Coturnix japonica: one gene and its partners. The protein of the gene in region 3 interacts with the protein of the main gene of each other region in a pairwise test. Links are inferred from orthologs where the notes say so. Each region holds a gene or a part of one and is shown on either strand. Other genes may lie near its edges.

Region 1 (6,011 bases), on a different chromosome or scaffold from region 3:
GCCCCGATTTATTGCCCGAATGCCCCTTGGAGAGGTTGGGTGCTGTGTTTGGAGGCCGGAGGCAGAAAGTGGAGCTGAACAAGGAGGATCCCACCTACACCGTGCGCTACCTGGGTAACGCCGTCACGCTGCACGCCAAAGGAGAGGGATGCACGGAGGAGGCGGTGGGCAAAATATGGGCCAAAAGCGACGCGGGAGCCGGTGGGGCCAAAATGAAGCTGACCTTAGGGCCGCATGGCATCCGTATGGCACCGGGTGAGAAGGGTGCCCGGAGGTCAGGCCACGCTTACCTGCTGCACCGCATCACCTACTGCACAGCTGACCGCCGGCACCCCAAGGTGTTTGCTTGGGTTTACCGGCACCAGGTGAAGAACAAAGCCGTGGTGCTACGCTGTCACGCCGTCCTCGTCCCCAAAGCCGCCACCGCGCGCGCCATGGCCCTGCTCCTCTTCCAGACCTCCGCTTCAGCCTTCGATGAATTCAAGAGGCTCAAAAGGCAGAACGACGGCCGGCGCCTCCAGCAGCAGCTCCTGGGTGAAGCCATCGTCCCCTTGGTGCCCCTTCGTAGGCTGCTCAATGCCAAGTGTCCCTACCGCCCGCCGGCTGAACGCGCCCGCTGCGCCCCACGGCTCAGCTCCATCCTGGAGGAGGACGAGGAGGAGACGGGGGGCACGTGGGGGGACGGGGGTCCCACCGTGGTCTCTTTGGCCAGTGAGATGCGGGGGTGCAGCTTGCGTGGCCCAAGGGCCCCCATATGCTGAGCATTCATCCACTGCTTTGGCCATACCGGGTGCACTCGGGACACAGCTGGACTATAGGGCTACGTCCCTTTGCTCTTAAAGGGGGGGATGCAGCTGGATCCCCCCATCCCTCTCCTGGAAATAAACCCAATGTGTGTTTTTTGCCTGTGACAGCACCTGTCTCTCGCCAGCCTGGAAGACTCGCGATGGTTTGTTGCTTTTCTGTTCTGTATTTACCCATTTTTTGCACTTCTCGGGGTAAAATATCCACCCCACAGTGGGGGGGGGAGGGAGGGGAGAGGGGTTTCTGCACCTTCCATGCCATTCTACGTGGTGTGATGCTCATGTTGCCATGGCAATGGTGGGGTTTAAATAGAGCAGGCCCACGCTTTGGGTTGGGGGGGGAGGCTGCAATGTGGATCCCAGGCCTGAAACTGGGGGGAAAATACAGCCCAGAGAACCTAAATCAGTGGAGTTTTACACAAAAATGTTTTTTTTTTCACCCAGTTCCTGCTCTATCTGCCTTGACAGGAGCAGCAATGAGGGGGGCACGGTGGAAGGAGCTGAATAAGTGGGGTGGTGGGAGGGGGAACAAGGGGCACTGCTGCCCCATAGACTGAGGAAGGGGATGCACCAGTGGGATGGGGTTTGTGTGAGCTCCCCCCACATACAGCAGCCAAGGAGGGGGTGGGCTGTGGTCCTGATTCCCTCTGAGCTTTGGGGGCTGCCCCCACACTCTGTGGGCTCTATAGAGCTCTATGGGACTGTGGTTTGAGATAACTGGCCCCCGAAAGCACTATGGGGCCAAGATTTGGGCTAACACCCCTATAAATAAACCTATGCAGGGTTATATCTGAGATATAACCAGCATCCTGGGGTGAAAGACTGGGATTTGGGTTAAACATCCTCTGAAAGCCCTTTAAGGCTGAGATATAGGCCAACCCCACACAAAAGGTCCTATAGGGCTGGGATTTAGCTTATCCACCTCCAAAATCCTTGGGGTGAGAGTATGGGATTTAGGCTAAATCCACCCCAAAGGCCCAATGGGTGTGGGATATGGGCTATCCTGCCCTAAAATCTTGCGGTAAAAGGTTGGGATTTGAATTATACCCACCCCAAAGGCCCTATAGGGTTTGGCGGGGCTGTATTGGGGGGCTCTACCAGGAAACCTTACAGCCATAACTCGGAGGACCGCACACTCTATGGTAACGGAGTTGCTTCCAGAGCGCCGCTCGCTTGACGTCATCACTCAGCGCCGCTCGGTTGCCTCGGTAATGGAGGAGATGGAAGGAAGCGGGCGGCCTTCGGCCTTGCAGGCCGCGCTGTTGGCGGCCGGTACGGGGCTGACAGCGCTGCTTTACTCGGTGTACCGGCAGCAGACCCGGCTCTCCCGAGGCCTACAGGTGGGTACGGGTGCTCCTGGACCGGGATGCGGGCTGCTAAAGGCCGTAATGGCTGCTTCGGGCCTAGGCCGCGGCCTAGTCCTGAGCCTGGGCCTAGTGGTTGATCCTCGGCTCCTTATGTCCCATAGGGAGCCCGGAGGCTGCGGTTGGACGGGGAGCTGCGGGCCGTGCTGCTGGAGGCACCAGGCCGCTGTGTGCCTTATGCTGTCATTGAAGGTATTGGTATAGCTAAAGGCTGGGTCTCTTTCCACATCTCCCCTTTGGCTCAAAGGGTTTTGCCCTAAAATCTGCTTTCTTGCACCAGAAATGGGGTAGCACTGCCCTGTAGTGCAGGCTCCTCCTTCACAGACACACACCCAGGGAAGGGGATGGGCTGTGATTCCTTCCAAATGAAAGGGGGAAAACTCCAGCCCTAATAGAAGGCTCTGGGGTATGGGATAGGGTTAGTTCCTTCCGTATGCAATGCAGGTTGGGGTTTGGGCTGGCATCCCTATGGAGCTTAAATATAGCCTGATTCCTGCAAAACTATGGGGTGAAAGGCTGGGGTTTGGGCTGAATGTACCCCAAAGGTCGTGTAGGGATTGATCCCTTCATAAAGGTACTACAGGGCTGGAATTTAGCCTGTCCCCTTCCAGAATCCTTGGGGATGGGATTATGGAATTTAGGCTAAACCCACCCCAGAGGCCCAGAGTTAATCTGGTCCCCAAAATGCCCCAACGAGGCCGGCATTTGAGCTACTTCCCCACCAAAAAAACGCCCCGTGAAGGTGGTATTTGGGCTATTTCTCTCCCCCAAAAACGTGCAGTGGGGGCTGAGATTTGAGCTAAGACCTCCACCACCTCCACAAGACACATTTGGGCTGGGATTTAACCTGTCCCCATCCAAAATCATGGGAGTGAAAGACTAGAACTTGAGTTAAACGTATCCCAGAGCCCTGTGGGGCTGAGTTCTGGGCCTGTACCTCCCTCCCCTTAAAAAATAAAGCACTTTGGGGCTGGAATTTGAGCTAATCTTCCCCCATGACAATAAAAGAGACTTGACCCACAACTCAACCACTCCACGTGTTCCAGGTGTGGTACGTTCTGTCAGGGACACCCTGAGCAGCCAGTTTGTGGACAACTGCAAGGGCGTCGTGCAGAGGCTGACACTGCAGGAGCACAAGATGGTATGGAACCGAACGACCCACCTCTGGTACGTACCTATATAGAACCATAGGACATCCCAAGTTGGAAGGGACCCATAAGGACCTGAAATCAGAACCTTAAGCCTTAGAGCAATGTCTCAACACTCCTTGAGCTCTGGAAGTTCAGGGTTGTACCCTCCACCCCACACATATGGCAGCTGGAGGCCACCCCAAGCAGCCAAATGGAGCATCCCTGCACTGCACTGAGCAGCCTAATAAAGCAGAGAATGGGAAGCTTGATGGTATTGTGGAGTCATCGTGGCTGTGGAGGTGATGAGGATTTAGCTGCCCCTGAGCTCTTTGCCTTGTGACAGCAGCAGGTTTTGCATGGGGGGCACAGGCAGAGTGATAAATGTTGCTGTGTTGAAAGCTGTGGTGTTTCCCTGCTACCTGGCTTAGGTTGGAGGGAACCTTAAAGATTATCAAACTCAAGATTATATCAGCTTGGAGGCTACCTTAAAGATTATCAACCCATGCCATGGGGTTGGATCACCCAACCCAGCCTGGATTGCCAGCGTGAAAGCACTAATGCTTTCTTTATCCCCAGGAATGACTATGAGAAGATCATCCACCAGAGAACCAACACCACAGCTTTCGACTTGGCCCCATTGGAAGACAGCACCGGGGTTGCCGTGAGGGTGATGAAACCACTGGAGGCTGCTGAGCTCAGCCTAGAGACAGTGCATGAGAAGTTCCATCCCTCAGTGCAATCCTTCCCCGATGTCATCGGCCACTACATCAGCGGGGAGCGCCCCAAAGGCATTCAGGAAACAGAGCAGATGCTGAAGGTGGGAGCTGCACTGACTGGTGTCGGAGAGCTGGTGCTGGACAACAACACCATCAAGCTGCAGCCACCCAAGCAAGGTCTGCGTTACTACCTGACCAGCTCCGATTTCGATGCTTTGCTGAGGAAACAGGAATCGAACGCCAAGCTTTGGAAGATCCTGACCATCCTTTTTGGTTTTGCTACGTGTGCTGTTCTCTTTTTCCTCTTAAGGAAACAGTATCGTTACCACCGGGAGAGGCAGCACCTCAAACAGATGCAACAGGAATTCAGGCAAGCTCAGGAGCGGCTGATGCGTGAAGTGAGCACTGAGGGTGGAGAGACACTGAAAAATGCCTGTGTCATCTGCCTGAGCAACGCCAAATCCTGTGTCTTCCTGGAGTGTGGCCACGTCTGCTCCTGCACTGAGTGCTACCGAGCCCTCCCAGAGCCCAAAAGGTGCCCCATCTGCAGACAGGCCATCAGCAGGGTGGTTCCCTTGTACAATAGTTAAAGCGTTGCATCTCAAGGGGGTGTTTTATGGAGAGCTCCCTCTCTCTGAGGGTCCGCCTGCGTCCTGCCCTTCTTGCTGCTGGGTGTTGGATGGCTGGGGGTGGAATCTTGGACTGGGGAAGGGGGAGGGAGCTGAGGAATGATTGGAAATGATTGCAGGTGCTCAGGGCTGGAGTGGTGCTCCTGGGGACAAAATCAGCTTGTTTCTGTGATACCCTGGTGATTAAATACCCCTTCTGTTATGAGACATGAGGAGACCTGCGGGGTGGGAGCTGGGGGTCAGGAGAGCTTCTGCTGTTGTGATAAATGATGAACACATGCGTTTCCATCATCCCCTCCTGCCAGCACTACCCCAGGGCTGAGCTTTGGCCACTTGTGATTGTGTCACACCAGAATGTGATCATGGCGCCGTGGCAGAGCTCCGCTTGATTCCGCAGCAGGGTTTGGGTCGGGGTACGGCACAGGATGTAATAAAACCCTTTGAAAAAGCTCGTTTGTCCCGGTTCATTCCATCCCTGCAGCCCTGAGGGCGCTGCGCTGCCTTCCTCTCCTCCCTCTGCATTATGCGAGCTGTACGAAGCTCCATCCATCCCAGGTGGGGCCGGGCGTTCTCCCTTTCCTATCGGAGGAGCCTGAGGTTGGAGCAGGGTGCGGAATAACCCCGTAGGCAGAGCTTGAAGAGCCGCATCCAGCCGGGCTGCAGGTGGCGATGCGCTCCCGCTGCGGAATAAAAGGCAGAAATAACAAACATCCGCAGCGACGGCGGCTCGTCTCCTTCCCTTCTCCCTCTGCCGTAAATCCATCACCCCGGCTGAGCCCAGGCTCATCTCCCCGGCTCCACAGGAGGGGATTCTTTTCTTACCCCATGCAGTGCCAAAAAGCCGGTTTTTCCACCCAAACCCCGTGCGGGTCTTGCGATGGGGGCTGCAGGGAACGCAGCCATCCCCGCAGCGCCCAAAATAAGCTCCTGGGGGCTGCGCTGCCCCCGCTGCCTTTTACCTCCTGTTCCCCAGCTTCCCCCGCGGGATGCGGGAGCAGACGCAGCGTTATGCAAGGAGCTGATAGCGGGACTGCGGCTGCATCCCCAGCCCCAAAAACACAGGAGCCCCGGCATTCAGCTGCCCCAAAATGGCCATCTTCTGCCCCAAAATGGCCATCTTCTGCCCCAAAATGGCCATCTTCTGCCCCAAAATGGGCTTTTCTGACCCCAAAATGGGCTGTTCTGCCCCAAAATGGGCTGTTCTGCCCCTAAATGAGCTGGGGTCCCTGTTGGTTGCCAGCTGCTGTCCCTATTGTCGCCCTCCCCCCAATGGGGACGTGGCACAGGGAGACTGTATGGGGACATGACATGTGGATGTGGCGCAGGGATGTGGTGTAGGGACACAGTGCAGGGGGACAACATGGGGACG
Region 2 (6,062 bases), on a different chromosome or scaffold from region 3:
ATTAGAAGAACATTAATCACAGCAGAACTAACTGCCATGTAGATCTCTGCATTCAAAATTGTGGAAGTACGTCTTTATTTAGCTTCCATGTTGTTTTATTAAAGTGCTGGTTACCATCCTCAAAGTAAGGAATTAAGTAATGCCACAGAAGAGAATGAAACCATATTCTCAGCTTATTTGCCTTCACTTTTGCAGTGTGCCAGAAGCACAGCTGGGATGTCACTCTAAATCTCTAACAGAGACATTTTATTATTAAACTGCCCTCTCACAGCACCAGACAGAAACAAGAATAACCATTTCCACCCCAAAACCCAGCCTAGGACAAGTGACAGTAGTATGAGATCAACCATTTCCAAAGCAGCTGTCTATGAACGTTGTTAGCATATATATTCAACGAGGAACACTATGTGTAAAACAGACACTTCCTTCCCCAGTATTACTTGACAGGTTACAGACAACCCCAGAACCAGAAAACAAGAGACTCTCCCCCAAAACTCAAGCTCACAAATACAAATAGTTACGTGTAAATAAACAGTGCCAACAAAATCTCTGCCCAATATATCAGCTTCTAATCTAGATAATTATTTTTCACAACAAAAGTACAAAAGTCCCTTAAGATGACATTTTAAAATCACACTGTGCATTCTGATTATATTGAGGAATCTCTCAATTATAAACCTTCTCTTCAGCAACAATCGTGTTGATAATCACAGCAGACAGAACTCTCCAGGCTCTGACCCTTACCACATACTGCTCCACACTCACCACTAACGTGGGCCAGGTACCTTCTAACAGCTGAGTAACCTGCCAGCTCAGCCCTTGCCATGGGATGGGCTCTCAGCCACTACACTGACACCCACCATGAACACTCCATGCTCAGGATCCCATTATATGGCACATCCCAAGAAATCTCACAGAACGTCTACAACGTTCCTGAGCATGGCACAAGCCTCCAGGACCCAAAGACTGTACAGCCACCACCTTATGACACATCACCTGACCAACACATCCCATATATACCCAGCACATGGGTACTTTGCAAGGCCTAATGCATTCCACACCCTCAGTGATAAGCAGATATGTGACACAGGGAGACAGACAGAGCATGCTGCAGGAAAGGGAAGCAAGCCGGTACAACAGGTGGTGATGGGGGGAATAGAGATGATGAGAGAAACAGCATGACTGGAAGCCAGTACGGAAGACTTAGTGCTTTATGAACAGAACTCACAAACAGTAAAGGACAGGCACAACCGGGGGCACAGCTCATTACTTCTTTCTTAAGGTGATGCATGCAACAAAAACGTGTTTCAGTCTATAATGTGTATCAACAGGTATTCGTTCACCTTTGCCTTTAGCTGGCTTCTTGGTGGGTGTGTCAGCCGAGACAGTTATTTCAATGTTATCCGGATCACCTCCCTCCTCTTCAATAGCCTGAACGGGACACAGAACGACAGTTTTTAGTGGAGTTCAATTGGAAGCAATAAGTTGTCACTTCAGGACGTTGACGAGCCAAGTTATTAGATTTTCAACTACACAATATCTTATGAAACACTTCAGGTTAAACCTCCCACCGAAAGCTGGGGGAGAGGGAGGAAAGCCTGACGATAGCGACAGCGGTTTGTTGAAGCCGTTCTCGTGACATTCCGAAGGACAACTTAGCGAGCAGCGGTACGTTTCCCTCAGGGATCGCTACGCCGCAATGACACCAAGGGGCAGAGCGGGCAGCAGGCAGCGAGCTGCAGCGCCCCGGGTCCCGGCAGGGCCTCAAGGCCGCGGGCCGAGCCCCGCCTGACGCCTCCACTCCCCGCGGCCGGGCAGGGCGTGCCGCCGCAGCACGGGCAGGGCCGGGCCGGGCCGGGCGACCCTCAGCCCTACGGCAGCAGCGGCACGAGGAGCGGGCCCGCCCCCCTCACCGGGACCGACACCGGGACCGACACCGACAGGGCCCCGCCCCCCTCACGGCGCTGCCCCCGATCCCGATCCCGGGCCGCGCCGCTCAGCCGGGCCCGCGCGGAGCTCTCACCTGCTTGAGCCGGGAGATGAGCACGGTCTTCACGCCGGTGACGTCCAGGTTGCGCCGCTTCAGCTCCGACTTGAGGTCGATGACCCGCAGGTCGCTGATCTTCTTGCTCTCGGTGGGAGGCGGCGCCGCGGCCGCCGAAGCGTTGGGCGCCCCGGGAGCCCCCGCGGCGGCAGGAGACGAGGCGGCGGCGGCGGCGGCGGCCATCTTAGAGCGACTGAGCGCGGCAGCCGCGCGCACAATGAAACCCCCCCGCCCTGCCGGGGCCGCGCGGTACCCGGATGGAGGCCGCGGCCGACCTGAGGAGCGGCGCAGGCGCAGTGCGGCTCACCTGCGCTCCGGACCTCCCCGCGAGAGGTTGGCGGCGGGCGGGTCGGGCGGGCGGGGGTGAGTGAATGAGTGAGGGAGGGAGTGAGTGCGGCGGGGAGTGAGTGAGTGAGTGCCGCGGTGCGGCCCCGCCCAGCGGGACGGGACGGGACGGGACGGGACGGCGCTGGGCTCCGGCCGGGCTCTCGCTTCTTCAGGGAGCGGCGCTGGGAGCCATGAGGTGCCCCGGGGCGGCGCGGGCTGGGCCAGGCCTTGCGGGAGGCGCAGGGCGGGGCCGGGCCGGCGGGGAGGGCGTCCGCAGCCGGGAGCCGGGCGGTGCGTCCCGCCGGGCCCCGCCGAGCGCTTCGGATCCTCGGCCTCGCGCGGGTGCGGGCCCGGCCCGGAGGAGGTGACGGTGCGGCGGCTGCGGGCGTTTGTCGGTACGAGCTCGCGGTCACGGGCCGCCGTACCGGGGCCGCAGCTCGTCCGCCCGCTCGTAGCGCCGCGTCGGCCCCGAGCGGAACAAAAGCGGAGCCGTTACCGCCGTGTGCTGCCGGCGGGGCCCGTCGCTGGGCCGGGCCGGAGCTCCGCGTGTCCCGGCCTGTGGGGCTGTGGGAGCCGTGCGAGGCGCGCTCCGGTTGCGAGCCGTCGCTCGGGGTGAATTGAATCCTCTAACCTTGAAACCGCTCCGTCGCAGCGATGCGCTGTGCTGCCTTCGTTCAGCGATGTGCACTGATCGAACTGCAGGGATGTGCGCGTTTCACTTAATAAATCTCTTACACGCTTTTTTTTTTTTGGTGTAAGTTAAGCCCGGAATCCGACGGAGTGGTTGGGAACAGCTTCCTCTCCTGTTTCCAGAGCCTCCATACATAATCCTTTACCTCAGTCGTTAGCGTTTAACAAAGGCTGACACCCATCCATTCAGAAGTTAAGCGTGTGCCTGAAACGGAATTTGTACTGATGACACACTGGAACAGGTTGCCCAAGGGGGCTGTGGGTGTCCCATTCCTGCAGGCACTCAAGGCCGGGCTGGATGTGGCTCTGGGCAGCCTGGGCTGCTGGTTGGTGACCCTGCACACAGCAGGGGGTTGAAACTCGGTGATCATTGTGGTCCTTTTCAACCCAGGCCATTCTACGATTCTATGAGTGTGGGAGGATTTTAAATGTCTCTTCGGCATGGTGAAGATTTAGTGAAAAGAGCAGTCTGAAGTGGGAGTGCTGTGTGTGTTCTTGCTCATGCTGTTCCCTGTGACAACACTTGCGCTAACATCTGATTTATCAGAAATGGCTGAGGTTAACTGATGGACTCCTTAGATTTACTTTAGACCACAGAAACAGATTTTGTGGGTGTTGGTGTAACTTTCAAACAGAACGTGGCTAAGTCCAGCTTTTGTTTCAGTTCTACTTTGAGTTCAGCGATCTACCAGAATATCAGGCAGGACTGCCAGCTCCCTGCAGCAGCGTTGTATCAGGAGGGACAGACTGCACTGTTCTGTTCTCAGTCCTGGGAATGACCAGTGGGTTAACACCTGCAGTGCTCACCTGCTTTCAGAGCAGTATCTGCTCACCTCAACCACTACATTTGTTGGTTGATGTCACGTAGATGTGGAAGCTGTTGATCTAAAAAGCCAACAGTGACCTTAAAACTAATACCTAGTCTCCATTATCCTGCCTCGAGGCGTGGTACGCCATTAGGAAAACAGCCTTGACTGATGTTCGTCTGACCTGTTCCTAAAGCCTTAACTAGGGATGCCACTCATTCCTCGTCTAGTCTAGCCCTTAACTATCCTTTTTCAGATGCCTCCTAAATCCCTTTTGCTGCAGTTCTTACTCTGACTCTAAAGGACAGAATTCCTTTTTCCTTTGCAGCATTTTTATGTGAAGACTACTAGCACATTTTGTTTGCTCCTTTATTTTTGGGGTATAAATCCAGATCATTTTCTTTTCCTTGATCCGAGTTCCAGAACAGATGACCTTTTTCTGTTGCACCTCTCCAGCATTTGTGCTGCACTTCCATCAAGTTGCCTTAGTGCCAGCACTTCCAATGCTGCATCTGGGAGCTGTGTGCCTTTTCCAGCTTCACGAAGGTGTTATCGTATGCAGTTTGTGATCCACTCTACATGTTGGTTTCTTTCCTGAACGTTTCCTATGGTAACTGATTCTCTGCACCTGATTTCTTTGCACTTCTGTTCATTACATGTATACATTTTCGGAGTGATTTCTGCCTTCATCGTTGACTTTTGCTCCATGTGTAGTACCTCTAACCATGGTGTTAGGTGCAGGTTTATACTTGCAGTCTAAGCTGTTATGCAGAGGTATGAGGGCCTTTACAGGACATAAACTGCAGGTTTGATGCTGAACTACTAGCGGCATTGCTCAGGGTACAAACAGTTTGGGACTGGGGTTATGTGGTTTCTATCCAGTTTCCTCTTTAAGTTTCCTCTTAAAGTTCCTATTAAAAGGAAGTTTCCTCATAAAAATGTTGATGGAACAGAATGTCGGAAGTCTCAATAAAGCTGGGATCTTCAGTTTATTCATATAACAAAACTGAAAATAAAGTTGGTTTGATCTGTCAATGAAAAATCATGTTGGTTGGCATCTTTCACATTAGTTTATAGGTATGCCTCATGATCAGATCTGTTTGGATTTGCTGAGGAATTTTAGTCTATATTGGCTGCTTTCTAACCTGGAGTTGGATGATTTGTTTGTTGTAAAGAAAAATACTCTTTGTCCTTTTACAGTCTCTTGAAACACGTACTGATGTTCAAAGAGAAGGCTGCTATGTACAGTTAGGCTCTGAAGTTTATGGTTAAGTTTGGTTAGGAGACAGTGGTATCTGTTCAAAGAGGAGAAATGTTTGGTGCACATGTTGGTTTTTAAATGGCAACAATGATAAAACTCCCAACCTTTGCTCCTGTGATGTATTTTTGTCTGTCTTATATGTGAGACACCTAAGATGTCCTTAGATGTTTTCAATGTGTTTTCATGGGCTTTGTAGTTCTGCATGGAACGTGATCTCAGTTCCAGCAGCACTGACTGATCAGTTCCTTACCTCAGTCTGAAGCAGAGGACCAAATGCCAGCATGCCCTGTGCAGATCTAATAAGTGGCCTCTAAAAACAGCCTTACTCCATGTTTTAAGACATAGAGAAGTAGTTCCTGCCGCTCTCTCGTTCATTTCCTTCCTTAAGGCAGCCTCACAGGCAGAGCACTCACCTGGAGCTGAGCACTGTGCCCAGTTCTCTCCTCTTCTCACATCTGTGGTTTGTCCAGACACATTTTAGAAAAGATGTTGGTTGAAGAAAAGGTGGAGAGGGTAGATACGGTGTAACAACTGTTCGTCTCAAAGCCCATCTTGTTACCAGAGGTTTCATTCCAGCTTCAGGCTTTTGTTTGTTTGCTTCAGAAAGCTGAGGTTCTAATGCAGTATTTTGCATTCTGTGTTTGTTGCTACCTTCATCAAAGCTGGTTATTTCAGCAGTAAATGATGCAGTGACTCAGTTCCTTTCTGGATGCAACTTTTTTTGAGCTATGTGAATTAATTGAAATCAACAGGAAGAGTCCATTTTACTTTGAAAGGCACCACTGCCGGGTTCCTGTGTTACATTGCTTAGTTACTACAGCTTCAAACTCTGCTTTGTAGTAATTGTGATGTCAGTCTGATTGTATTCAAACCTCTGACCAAGCTTATGCCTAACAATTGTCAGCTGCACTATTTCTGTCTAATGGGAGGGGAA
Region 3 (6,192 bases):
ACCATGCAGTTAAATGCAAGATTGGCTTTGCCTTCAGTAATGCTAACATGGCTGCTTCCTCTTTGTTCTCAGAGGTATAACCCAAATCCCACAGCTGAGAAACTTTGCAGCTTTTTTCCTGCTCGATCCTGTGTATAAACAGAACGCTCACAGCCGAGTTCGGTAGGAATCTCCCACAAGTACTCGGAACAGTAACTCTTTTTCAGATCTGAGCACATTTTGCCAGAGAGATTTTCTTTTCAAGCTAATATGCAAATGAGCCGGGGGGAGGGGGGGCCGTACAAGCACATTTGACAATGACTTTAAACCAGCACTACAGAACTGTGATCGAGGCTGAAGAAGCGAGCCGTGCTGTCAGCAAATGTATTCTTTTGGCAATATTCTACCTCCTGCTTTGCAGGGTGTTTAAAAAGTAGGTCTGCAGATCTGCCTGGCTGCTTCTGACACTGGAATCATCTCTGCATCAACTTTGCTCTTCTCCACACCTTCTGCTGCCTTTCCTCCCCCAGCCTTACAGGAGCCGTATTTACATGATAAAAAGCAACATAATAACCTGAAATAATCTGTGTTTAGCTTGACATTGTAACAACCACTCCCAAGATGTTACAGTCCAGAAAGCAACACTCAAAATTTTGGGTAAACCTTATTATTTATTCATATATATATATATATATATAGGAGGTGTAACTTTTAAAGATTCAAGGCAATTTCCTCTTTTAAATGTCAAATCAAACAAACAAACAAAACTGCACAACAAAACCCACGCGAGCAAGACTGCTTTTTTATGTGCATAGCAAGTGTAGAACATGAGCTGACAGGGACTGCCCCAAAAGCCCATGCACCATTTCTATTAAGCCCAACCATGCTACTGAACTACTGGATTAACCAAAACAAAGGTAAGAGGAGAAAACTCAGCTGTGAGCCTCTACATGATGTACCTCAGGCACTAAAAAGAACACAAAGCCTAACAATAAATTACAAAGTCTACACTGTTTCCAGAACTTTTCCTTCTGCAGCCAAGTCCTATTCCAAAGGGTTTCTTTAACAAACTCAGAAGTCATCAGTCACCCAGTCACATTCTGCAATAATTCTGAGACACTGCAAAATGTATTTACTGAGTTTAAGTACAGTGCAAAGTTACTACAACGTTCCTCAAAGTCTGAGCTACTGTATTTGGGCTGGATAAGCAAAACTCGAGGCTAATGTGGCTTTCGCACAGTGTATTTGTAAATGTTTGTAAAGAAAGGGAACTCCAGGGAAAAGACTGAAAGTTGTGTTTCATCTCAGAAGACAACTGGGATTGAGGGAATTAAAGTTTGCTTTATTTCACACAGCTGAACTTACAGAAAATAATTAGCACGCATGTCTTGAGAGCTGGACTGCCAGTAACCTTGTGTGTAAACAAAAACGCAGCAGATAAAACTAGACAAGGTTTCCTGAGATTCTGATACTTAGAGGCTACACTTGAAGAACCCTATGGTTGGAATCCATGGATCCCACAAGAGACCATTTGCCTGACTTTCTCCAGAAAGCACTGCAGGACAGAACAGTGACTTTAAGGTGCACAGGGCTCTACTGCAATCATAAGGCCTTCAGAATCCACGAGGCTTTTGTGACTTCTGTAATTAAAGAGTACTGTCATTGCACTGCAGCCTGCACTGAAATACACCAGAAAGATCCACCCTATACCAACAAGGTATGTAAACCTGTCTCTGCAAACCAGACACCTGAAGCTTATGCTTTCTCACTCATTTTAACAAATATGAGAGGCACACAGGTGCCCCATGACCAGCCTGAGAGTTAGCAAGTTTTCCAACAACTCCAAAGAAACACGGCCAGCCCGCGTATTAGTGCCCCAGAGGATTTGGACTGGTGAAGGTCCTTCCCAGCAGACCAGCATGCTACAGAATTTTGTACTGTGCTATTTCCCACGTGGCTTTAAAGCAATCCCTCTGCCTTGGGAAGTGCAGTGCAACACTGCGAGTCCACACACCGTGCAAAACCGCTACAGGACGCTGGATGCCACAAGTACCTTTTAGCACTAGTAGATAGCTTAGCAGTAGTTTTGCTGGAGAGTTTGGTGTTCTTCTTCTGTTGGGTGGCAGAGGGTTTCCTTTCCTCCTGCTCCTCAGGTTCAGGTGCCGGGGGGTCCCTCTGGTCAGCATCTGAGCTGCCGCTGCTGGTACTGGGGCTCTCATCATCTGACCTCTGCCTGTCACTGGACATCGTGGGGAACTTGTGGGGAAGGAGGAGAAGAGGCAGTTACTACAGCACGCAGGTCACCCCTCGCCGTCCTGAGCTCTGAAGAACACTTTGGTTGTCGATAACTCTATTTCATGGAGAAACCCACCAGGATCCTCTTCTTTGTCTCATCCGCCAGGGCTGCAACTTGACAGCCACACCACAACATTTACACTTCGGAAAACACCGGCATTTCCCATTTTTAAACCCACTCGCATTTTTGTCATGCTTCAAACAATATGCCAATTGTCGGCTTGGTTCTGAGGCACAGACAGATTGAGCAGGGCACTTAGGAAACGCACATTAATAACTTATGACACATTGTAAATAACAGACCTCCCTGGGAATGTTTTTTAAGGAGTCACCGATACCCTGTAAATATTTACACTGGAACGGAGCGTTTTATTGGGTCCAAACGCCTGATCCCCCCTCAACCCCTCTCTCGGAGGAGCTCCATTGCCAATGAGACTCGGGCTGCTATCAGACCGAAGCATACACTTGCTCTGTGCATTTAAAGGGCTGGGCGGGGGGGGGGGGGGGGGGGGGGGAGGTGGGGGGGGGAGGGAGAACGCGGGTTGTTTGTTTTTAAAGGAAAACCCCCGCGGAACCCGCAGAAGATGCGTCGGGAGCAACTCGGGAAGCGGCAGCCCCACTGCCCGCCGGCAGATCCGCATTGGGCCCCCGCAGGGCCGCCGGGGGGGAGGCAGCCCGCAGCCGCCCGCACCTTCCGCGTCGCCCTCTCGCCCCCCCGCCCCGCTCCGACATGGTGGCGGCGGGGGGAGGGGGCTGCCCGGTGGCCGGGAGCCGCGGTGGGGCCGGGGGCGGCCGCGCTTTGTGGGGTGAGCCCGGCGCGGCGCGGCAGGCGGCGGCTCGGCTCGGCCGGCCCCGCTCCACTCGGCTCGGCCCCGCTCGGCGCCGCGCGTGTGTGTGCACCAAGTGAGGCGTGAACTCGGCCGGCCCCGCGCCCCCGGCCGCCGGCAGGCAGCGAGCGCCGAAAACAAGAACAAAGCTCCTCGGCGGCCCCCCCGCTCCTCCCCGCCTCCCCCCACCGCGCTCGCCCAGCCGCCGCCGCCGCCGCCGCCGCAGCCGCCTCGCCCGCCTCTCGCTTACCTTCGCCGGCGTCCTGTCCCGCTGCTGGGTCGGAGGGGCGGGATGGCGGGGGGCCGGGCCGGGCCCGCGGCGCCCGAGGAGGGGACGGAGACGGCCGGGGGGCTCTACGGCGGCGGCGGCGGCTCTGTGGCCGGGCGGTGTGGAACATTGAGAGCCGGAGCAGGGGGGGACGGGGGGAGGCGCGGTGCGGCCCCGCGGCCGGCGGGTGGCGCTGGCGGGCCCCGCTCTGCGGCGCGGGCTCCCGCGGCGGGCCGGGGGGCCGGGGCGGGGGGCGGCGGGCGCGCGCCGCCGGGGGCGGGGGAGAAGGTCCGGGGTTGGGGAGAGGGGGGGGGAGACCGGCCGCCCCCGGCCGCCGCCGCTGTGCCGGGCTGCAGCCGACAGCGGGGGAGGGGACGGGAGAGCAGAGGGGGCGCTCGCTCCCGCCTGGCGGCCAGCAGAGCGCGCCCCCCTCCGGGCTGGGGTGCGCGCAGGCGCTCTCCCGCCGCGGCCGAGGGCGCGCGTGCTCCGGGCCGGGCAAGGACAAAGCGGCGGCGCGCGGGTGGACCTCGACGGCTGCTGTGCGCGGCGGGGCACGGCGCGATCCTGCACAGCTCCTGAGTGTGGGCACCGCCAGAATCATCAGCACTTCGGTGCCCTCCGCCGGCCGTCCCGGCTGCAGCTCCGCCGCCCGCGGGGTCTGACAGCGGTGTTACAGCCGCCTCGTGCCCCGCTCCTCGATCCACGCGTCCAAGTGATGGCCGGCACTGTGTGCGGTCATGGTGGTTTATTCCAAATTAGAAACACAATTAGGAGTTGCACCGTATGCATCTACGTGCCGAGTTCTGACTGTTATCACAGAGGGAAGGGGGTAGTCTGTATCAGTGGCTGTGTAGGATGGTGGTTGAATTTCTTCCCAGGCCCATCACAGCCGCACCTGAGGAGCTGTGGTCAGTGTGCAGTAAGAGCCATCCACCAATTAGAGTAATGTGAATATTCCAAAGTGATCCTGGAGCAATAAAACCCACCTGTAAAAGAAGCGTTAACTATTTGTGATAAGTACCTGTGCTGCAGATTACAGGGTCCAGCAGAGGGGAAATGAGCAATGCGGTTTGAGTTCTGTTATAGAAATGGACGCAAAACCGCTGTCCAGCAGCTGGGCTTCACCTCAGCACTGTGCACCTCGAGGGCTTTCCTTGCCAATAGTCCAAGGGCTTCAAGCCTCTCTGCTTAAGTTTAGCAGGATCGAGAGGCCACAGGTTGCGTTCTGTAGGAGCTGAACGGTGCGTCAGGGGGTTCTGTTCTCTGGGTAGCTGGAATTAGCTCAGCTGAACAGTATGCTGAAGGTTCCGTGGGTGAGCTGAGTGAAATGGTGGGGAGGAATACCGGAGGTTTGTTTGTTAAAGTGGGCTATAGAGAATTCCCAGATCACCACTACAAGCGATTTGCCCCTGAGGTATGCTGTAGAAAATTCTTTGCATAAACAGTATCTGGCATGATGAGCAATCTGGGCATAATTAGTAAAAGGGAAGTGTGGCAATATCAAAAATCTATCAGTCAGCAGTAAAACCATTTCTTTTCCCTATTGATGCTCAAAATGGGGCTGGCTGGCACTTTGAGGGTCAGGACTAAGTGTTTATTTTGTTTCTGGTGATAATCAATGCAGCTGTCAAAAAAGAAAAATAAATAAAGCATCTACAGAATGAATGTAAGTAGGCTGGTCAAGGGCTGCTGGCCACATCAGCTGTTACATGTTGTGGCTTCTGTGGCTTTTAGGAGAAAAAATGAAAATAAAGCCTGTTTAACAGAGGCTAATTGAAAGCCAGCCTGGATTTCATTATTTATTTTTTTCTCTCCAGTCTTTTGTACCTAATTAAAACTGTTCTACTACAGGAACTTATGGATACAACAGGTGTTTATCTGAATGAATATGCATTTGTTTGACATCAAGGCTCAAAGCATGATACTTTCCTCTTACAGGGCTGTATTCTCCTAGGGGGTTTGTTATCTTGTCAACTGTAGAAAAAGTAATGCAGTTGGAAGCAGAGAAAGTGCTGATTTCAATAGCTATAGGAATAAAGCTCCATCCCATGATCTCTGTGACTTTTTGTGCTCCTTGTGATTTTACACTGGTGTAATTTTAACCGATACATCTATCTGTTTTTGTTTTTCTGTCAGTTTATTGAGTACTTAAACTGTGAAAGTTCAACTAGTAGGGTGAAGTGCAGAGCCCTCCTGAGCTTTCCTAACCCTTCCTACTTTCAGACTTGTCTAGATGGTCCTGGGCACTTAGAAATGTGTGAAGCTTTCATTTTTTCTTCCCCTCAGATGCCCTTTAGTTTTTTTTTTTTTGTTTGTTTGTTTTTCCCCAGCACAAGCATTGGTGGTTCCTTAAGAAGCCCAGTATCGCTTAGATACGTCCTGATCCCTATTCTATCAGAGCACAGGTGTGAAGTTGCTGTCAGCGTGCAGAGGTTTAACATCTGCTTTGGGCTGTACAGGCATCTGAAAATATTTTACTGCATTTAGGAAGAATTCACATTTCAGTCTCCTCTATTGGATGCAAAATGCTGTGATAGCAAACAACTCAATGCCTGGCACCAGAACTAGGGTAAAGGCATTTTCCACTTCTCACAAGTAAACTCTGAGGGATGAGAAAATCATTGCTTGATCTCCTTGCCCCTACCATTTTAAGGGTGTACAGATGGTAAAATAAAGCCGGCATACATTTTTTGTGATTAAGAGCAGATCAATTGTAAATACTACTTAATGTTTACAGTCATATACTTCATCTTCTTTATCACAAAATCATTGTTTCCTGACAACAAATATATTTCCAACAAGCAATGCATCTTTCTATCCCAT

Evidence for each region.
Region 1: the proteins of UBE2E3 (region 3) and MUL1 interact in a two-hybrid assay, tested with the Homo sapiens proteins (2 studies listed by BioGRID and IntAct). The link is inferred for Coturnix japonica from reciprocal best matches to the Homo sapiens genes UBE2E3 and MUL1.
Region 2: the proteins of UBE2E3 (region 3) and RNF111 interact in a two-hybrid assay, tested with the Homo sapiens proteins (2 studies listed by BioGRID and IntAct). The link is inferred for Coturnix japonica from reciprocal best matches to the Homo sapiens genes UBE2E3 and RNF111.

What each region holds. Positions count from the first base shown.
Region 1 is NC_029536.1:4,255,028-4,261,038, reverse strand, and holds MUL1 (mitochondrial ubiquitin ligase activator of NFKB 1), read left to right. Parts: upstream 1-1,968; 5' UTR 1,969-2,014; coding exon 2,015-2,143; intron 2,144-2,271; coding exon 2,272-2,359; intron 2,360-3,213; coding exon 3,214-3,334; intron 3,335-3,873; coding exon 3,874-4,603; 3' UTR 4,604-5,090; downstream 5,091-6,011. Other genes in the region: protein FAM43B, read left to right, coding at 1-761. UniProt on the Homo sapiens protein: Exhibits weak E3 ubiquitin-protein ligase activity. E3 ubiquitin ligases accept ubiquitin from an E2 ubiquitin-conjugating enzyme in the form of a thioester and then directly transfer the ubiquitin to targeted substrates.
Region 2 is NC_029525.1:5,871,749-5,877,810, reverse strand, and holds the start of RNF111 (E3 ubiquitin-protein ligase Arkadia), read left to right. Parts: upstream 1-2,450; 5' UTR 2,451-2,562; coding exon 2,563-2,567; intron 2,568-6,062. Other genes in the region: SLTM (SAFB-like transcription modulator), read right to left, coding at 1,344-1,431, 2,024-2,227. UniProt on the Homo sapiens protein: E3 ubiquitin-protein ligase. Required for mesoderm patterning during embryonic development. Acts as an enhancer of the transcriptional responses of the SMAD2/SMAD3 effectors, which are activated downstream of BMP.
Region 3 is NC_029522.1:12,887,915-12,894,106, forward strand, and holds the start of UBE2E3 (ubiquitin-conjugating enzyme E2 E3), read right to left. Parts: upstream 3,525-6,192; 5' UTR 3,352-3,524; intron 2,236-3,351; 5' UTR 2,227-2,235; coding exon 2,033-2,226; intron 1-2,032. UniProt on the Homo sapiens protein: Accepts ubiquitin from the E1 complex and catalyzes its covalent attachment to other proteins. In vitro catalyzes 'Lys-11'- and 'Lys-48'-, as well as 'Lys-63'-linked polyubiquitination.